2 linked regions of the Saccharomyces cerevisiae S288C genome follow. The protein of the gene in region 1 interacts with the protein of each later gene in a pairwise test. Each region holds a gene or a part of one and is shown in the gene's direction. Other genes may lie near its edges.

Evidence for each region.
Region 2: the proteins of ERP5 (region 1) and GIT1 interact in a protein complementation assay, tested with the Saccharomyces cerevisiae proteins (one large-scale study listed by BioGRID).

What each region holds. Positions count from the first base shown.
Region 1 is NC_001140.6:330,370-333,420, forward strand, and holds ERP5 (Erp5p), read left to right. Parts: upstream 1-1,912; coding exon 1,913-2,551; downstream 2,552-3,051. Other genes in the region: CTM1 (cytochrome c lysine N-methyltransferase), read left to right, coding at 1-1,698; UBA4 (Uba4p), read left to right, coding at 2,703-3,051. UniProt on the Saccharomyces cerevisiae protein: Involved in vesicular protein trafficking.
Region 2 is NC_001135.5:296,453-300,513, reverse strand, and holds GIT1 (Git1p), read left to right. Parts: upstream 1-1,908; coding exon 1,909-3,465; downstream 3,466-4,061. UniProt on the Saccharomyces cerevisiae protein: Glycerophosphodiester transporter that mediates uptake of both glycerophosphoinositol (GroPIns) and glycerophosphocholine (GroPCho) as sources of the nutrients inositol and phosphate.

The sequences.
Region 1 (3,051 bases):
TCATTAAAACCATCCACCATTGATGACCCCAAAAGTGGATATGGCCTTTTCGTAGAACCTTCGAAGTTCAAGAATGATGAATTGAAAAGTGAAACTATCCAATTGCTCCGAATCCCTAAGCGCTGCACGTTTAATATAAACACACTTCTGGCTCTCTTGGGAGATGAGGACGAATTTTCTTCAAAGGAAGAATTTCAAAGAACTAATGACAAAATTAAGATTGCTCTTCGTGAAATAATGGCTCATCCGAATTTCAGTGTGTTCCTGACAGAAACAAATTTACTCATAATTTATTTCATGATATTTCAAACTATTCGTAGTCGTTATGAGATTCCCGAAAATATCCAATATTATTTAGAAAATGTTTTAATGAGCATTGAAGTAGAAACAGCCATGGATTCTATTGAAAACTTAGCTACTGATTATGGACATTATCCACAGATTTTTGGCCTTCGAGAGACGCTAAATTTATTTAAAGAACTGTTTCACGACGTCTTGAATTTAAGTGATATCAAACATCTTTATTCTGCAATAATTTCACGTTGTTTAGAGATACCAGAAAGGGCCGATACCAAAAGTGAAGAATTCACGGTCCATTCTACTTTAGTCCCTATTGTAGATTTTGCCAACCATGAAGGCACCCAAAAAAATGCTTATTTTGACATCGACCCTTCAAATAATGACGTTTTACTTCTATTGGATACAAAAGCGGTCCAAAGTGAACTCACAAAACCTATTGAAGTTTTCATTAGTTACTCACCAACAGAGGATTTATTTTCCATGCTTGTAACATATGGATTCACCCCAGATTTTAGAGGGAATTCCCAATTTTGGACTGTATCCTTTGACAGGTGCTTTTTAAGAAACTATGATGGACCAGATAAAACTACAAATTTAAGATTGTTTTACAAATGGATGCACATAAATCCAGTGGTACCACTAGTTAAATACGAGCACAACGGAAAGACTCGCTGGTTTCTCAATGACACCACGCCTGAATTTGATATGCTTTTGCTCCCATTCATTCCATCGATAGATGATGGCAAAATTGCTCGGTGGGCGTACGATTCCACATGTCATTTGATGTTCACGAAAATCCATTGTCTGATAAATCCCGAGGCCAACGAACATGCGTTAATGATTGCAGAAAACTACCGCTCTCTCATTAAAGAGAAAGAGTCAAATGGTGACGATTTCATAAATTTACCGCCACTAGCTTGGTCATTGCGTTACAAAGATACAGAAAACGATTGTGTACGGCAAAGACATATATGCAGTGAAGATGCGGTCGCTGTACTTAAACAAGAAGAAATGCAAGACTCAACCAAAACCAAATCCCAGTTTACCAGTTTCTTTCGTAAATTTTTAGAGTTTCGTAGATCCAAAATTATTAGGCCTACCAGTGATTCAAAAGTTGCAAGCATATTATACCAGCAGGAACTGGAAATAATTGCTGACTTAGCAAAAGCTATCGATAGCAGCTCTACCATTTTTTTCAGCGATCTGAATGTTACATTGGACACCGAACCAGAACGGCTCCCCCCTCTAAGGTTTTTAGATGATTACATAGAGATCTCTGCGGATAAGCAGGAGCCAAGCCCAATTTGTGAGGATCTTTCTTATTATACACCCAGCAGGTTTACTGATTTTTTTCAAGAAGAGGTAAGCCAATATGCGGCTTTCTTTCAGGATGACTAGATGAGTACCACTTACGATCTTGTATATAAATGTTTTTAGTTGTCCTTTCTTCTACATTAAAAGCATCACAAAGAACAATCTGACGCGTTTTTCCACTGTCTCTTTCTCGCGTTTTATTCTTTTCCGTTTGAGACAAAAAAAGAGGAGCTTTGTAGTGTAATACTACTAGTTACTTAAGGGAACACATCAAGCATTCGGTGTCTCACAGGCTACTATGAAATATAATATAGTGCATGGAATTTGCCTATTATTTGCTATTACCCAAGCTGTAGGGGCTGTCCATTTTTATGCGAAGTCCGGGGAAACCAAATGCTTCTATGAACACTTATCCCGGGGAAACCTACTGATTGGGGATTTAGACCTATATGTAGAAAAGGATGGTCTGTTTGAAGAGGACCCTGAATCCAGTCTGACAATAACTGTCGATGAAACATTCGATAACGACCATCGTGTCCTAAATCAAAAAAACTCACACACAGGTGATGTTACTTTTACAGCTTTAGACACAGGTGAACATAGATTTTGCTTCACTCCATTCTACAGCAAGAAATCAGCCACACTAAGAGTATTCATCGAACTAGAAATTGGCAATGTTGAAGCGCTTGACAGCAAGAAAAAAGAAGATATGAATTCACTTAAGGGGAGGGTAGGCCAGTTGACTCAAAGGCTATCTTCTATTCGTAAGGAGCAAGACGCTATCAGAGAAAAAGAGGCAGAATTCAGAAATCAAAGTGAATCAGCTAACAGCAAGATAATGACGTGGTCTGTGTTCCAACTTCTCATATTGCTGGGCACCTGTGCCTTCCAGCTACGCTATCTCAAGAATTTCTTTGTCAAACAGAAGGTAGTATAATATACCATGTTTGTTATATAGAGTTTATATATCGCTCATTACGAATCGGTGCAATGAGCTCTTCGATATGAAATATTCCTTAGCTTAGTAATAAGAGTGACTTAAGCTGATGCCGTTGACTGCAAAAGGAAGTAAATAGAAGTCAATAACAATGAATGACTACCATCTCGAGGATACCACGTCTGAACTTGAAGCATTAAGATTGGAGAATGCACAATTAAGAGAGCAGCTTGCCAAGAGAGAAGACAGCAGCCGCGACTACCCATTATCTTTGGAAGAATACCAACGTTACGGAAGACAAATGATTGTTGAAGAAACAGGTGGTGTAGCAGGTCAAGTCAAGTTGAAAAATACAAAAGTTTTGGTAGTTGGTGCTGGAGGTTTGGGATGTCCCGCCTTGCCCTACTTAGCGGGCGCTGGCGTGGGCCAAATAGGCATAGTAGATAACGATGTGGTGGAGACTTCCAATTTGCATAGGCAGGTTCTTCATGATTCTAGCA
Region 2 (4,061 bases), on another chromosome or scaffold:
AAATTGCCTGAAACCAGACAACTAGGCATGCCACCAGATTTTGGTGATGAAAAATTGTGAATCAACCTTAAATCCAGAACATAATAGTATACCTTACCAAAGATGGTGGCGGAACGTTTACATAAATGCTTGGTAATGCAGTTCATTCTGGGTTAGCGGGCTCATTTTTCAAAAATCCGTCAAATGGGGATATTTGCTGTATGCTAAGTAAAGGAAAAGTTTTCGCCATCAGACGACTTATATGAAAACGCCAACGAATTATCCAGTTTCACGAGTCAAGGCGGTAATTTTGAAATCGAACAAGAAGATGCTCACACGCCTGAACGAAACACATGTCACAGATAACCAAGACTGTCTCTAGCAACATTCCAGACGCATTGCGAGCTCGAAGTTCCGCTCAAAAGGTTGATTGGCAGCAGCACGCATCGAAGACAAGTGGGTAATCTTTTTTACGCATAATAAATGGCTGTGTCTATTTTTTATTAAGAGAAGTAAGCATAAGGATTTTCTCAATATTGTCCATTATCCGAGGCCTCCATTACCTTTGTATGAATATAATCGCCATGAATATAATCGCCATTGTAGTTCGCCAAGTGCCGCCTTTCTTTTCTTCTATCCTCTTATCTTCCGCTTATTGGCACAGGAAACGTAAAAATTAATAATCACCAGTTCCAGTCATTTTGAGTTATAATCGTTTACCCTCCCGACAAAGATAGTAGCTCGATTCAAGAACATGAATTTTACTAATATTCGTACTTTTTTAGTTTCTGCTACTATTAATCGGTTTTGAATCCTGTCTTCATTTTGTGAGGACAAAATTTAGTAGGTGTGTAAAGTGGTATTTAAGATTCGAGTCTGGGTGCACTAAACAATGATAGACTGATCAGTACATCTTCAATTTACTATATATAGATTTTTATTAGTATTTGTTTGCAACAATTCAACGGTTAGTGTATGTAGACTATTGAATATAACGAAGATAAACAAAAAGAAGGGGAGCGAAAAAGAATTGTCAACAAATGTTTATCGATATCTGCGATAAGGTTCTGCAAACAAATGCCGCTTACGAAAAGAATACAAAAATAAGAGAATACAAGGTTATCAGCCGTCGAAAAGCACATGCTATCGTGTCATCATTTCGTGAACTATACTTCTAATGGTGTCTGCACCACAAATACCATATACACATTAGAGCATGACGATGAGTACTTACTTTTCTTGACTGTACAGCCACAGATGTTGCAGTGCGTTTCAAAAGTTCCAGCCCCACGTTTTGCCAAGATAAATTAAAAAAAGAACGTGCATATGAATATGACAGTATTGAGCATAGTCTTTTTGACAGTATCCCCTAAATGCCAGAGTGTCCGCATGATTAATACTTTTCGCGGCGCACGTGCATGACGGTAAAGAAAGCAGAGAATCAAAAGAAGCAGCACGTAGTAATAGCGGCGTAGAATGTTGTACCCAACAGCAATGATGTTAGAATAATAGGGGTTATATGATTGGATCCTACGGTCTTCCGCGTTGCCGTTTGGTGCCACATTTATCTTCATATTCATGAATTTCCTTACTGGACCCCCACCTTAGCATGGATTGATTATATAGGCATATGGGCATTCCGTCCACTGTATCGTAGGATTATTTTCCAACATTAGTTAACTTAGTTCTCTGGTTAACCTAGTTTTTCAATCTGGCTATCTTAATTCTTTGATGAGGGACATCTGCTGGAAGACATCCAGAATGTGTCTGGATGAAGTAGGAAACTCGTGAATATATAAACCCCGATGAATGTAGTTGTAGCAGATGTTCGTTACAGTATTTATTATCTGTTTCTTGTGACTAGTCAACCAGCCGCAGACGTGAGTTGATCTTTTTGCTTATAATCAAAAAAATAGAATAGGATAAAAAATGGAAGACAAAGATATCACATCGGTAAATGAGAAGGAAGTGAACGAGAACACTAATCCTAGAATAATAAAATATGATGCCGAGAGGCGTGCAACCCGTACTGAAACCTCAAAGAAAGATAAATGGAAAAACATAGTTACAATCATTGCGTCCGGTTTTGCTCTGATAAGTGATGGTTACGTAAATGGTTCAATGAGTATGCTAAACAAGGTTTTTGTTATGGAGTACGGTAAGAAAAACTATAGCTCAAAAGTGTCGACTAGAGTTTCCAACGCAGCCCTAGTTGGTATTATTTTTGGCCAATTCTTTATGGGTATCGCTGCTGATTATTATAGTAGAAAATCTTGTATCCTTGTGGCCACTGCTATCTTGGTTATTGGTAGTGCTCTGTGTGCTGCCTCTCACGGTACTACTGTACCTGGCATGTTTTGGATGTTAACAGTTATGAGAGGTTTGGTAGGTATTGGTGTTGGTGCAGAATATCCTACCAGTACATTAAGTGCTAATGAGTCTGCTAATGAATATACCACTACCAAAAGAGGTGGTATCCTGGTTATGGTGACAAATTTGCCACTAGCCTTCGGTGGTCCATTTGCTACGATCATCTTTTTAATCGTCTACAAAATCTGTTCAGGAACAAAACATTTAGAGGCGATCTGGAGGACTGTTTTTGCAATAGGGTGCTTCTGGCCATTGAGTGTGTTCTATTTTAGATGGAAGACTGCTACTACAGAAGTCTATGAAAAAGGTAGAATCAAGAGAAATATACCATATTTCCTAGCATTGAAATTTTATTGGAAAAGGTTACTTGGTACATGTGGTACATGGTTTATGTATGATTTTGTTACCTTCCCAAATGGTATTTTCAGTTCAACAATTATCAGTTCCGTTATCAAGGACCAAAATGATTTAGTAAAAGTGGCAGAGTGGAACTTACTGTTGGGAGTTTTAGCTGTACTGGGTGTACCAATTGGTGCTTATCTGTCCGATCGTATTGGTCGTAAATATACGTTGATGTTTGGTTTCTCTGGGTACATCATCTTTGGTCTAATCATTGGATGTGCGTACGACCAATTGAAAAAAATCACCCCCTTGTTTATTATCTTCTACGCATTCATGAATATGTTAGGTAATGCTGGACCAGGTGATATGCTTGGTGTTATTAGTAGTGAAGCGTCAGCAACCGCTGTTAGAGGTGTTTTCTATGGTTTATCTGCTGTGACTGGTAAAATCGGTTCTGTAGTAGGCGTCGAATGTTTCCAACCCATTAGGGATAATTTGGGTGCAAGATGGACTTTTATTATTGCTGCAATTTGTGGTCTTATTGGTATCATTATTACATATTTCTTTGTTCCACATTCTCTTGAAAGCGATTTAATGAAGCAAGACGTTGAATTTCACAACTATTTGGTATCCAATGGCTGGACTGGTAAGATGGGATTTGATGAGACAGATGAAGAATCAATGGTTAGAACTATTGAAGTTGAAGAGAATGGTACTAATTGTAGTAAGAAAAACGCAGAAATAATTTCAGTCAGACAGGTCGATCAAAGTTGAAATTGGTATCGATTTCTTCCTCCATCCTTTAACCTCAAAATTTCTTTTTCTAAAGCGTTAATTTTAATTTATTATGATGCAGCTTACTCCCAAGAGTGCATGTAATGTTTGAAATATATTCATTGTTCTTGAAACTGAATATTATTATAAAACGATAAAATTGGGAATGGAAATATATGGTATAGCGTAATATTTTTTTTTTAGTTATTCTAAGTAACTTTTACATTTCAAAAGATTTACTAAAAGTTTTGTTTGAGCATTTGTTTGTTTTGTTATAATCCTTAGCTATTTTCGGTGTCTTAATGAGAAGGAAATTTTACGACTACAGAAATGATGCAGTGGCGATATCATATGCAAAAGAAATGTAGGAAGTACTCAGCTCTATTAAAATGGGGTGTGTTAGTGTAAATGATACAGATCTTGAATTGTATATTGTTTTGATTACGTTAAAACTCGTTACCATAGCTAACCTAGAAATAAGTGCTTTGGAACACCATGTTGAAAACCTTTTATTAGTCCAAAAAGTTTCACAATTCTAACATAGGATGGCAGTTTATTAACACTTTTTATATTTGTTTGTGACTTCCCGCTACAAA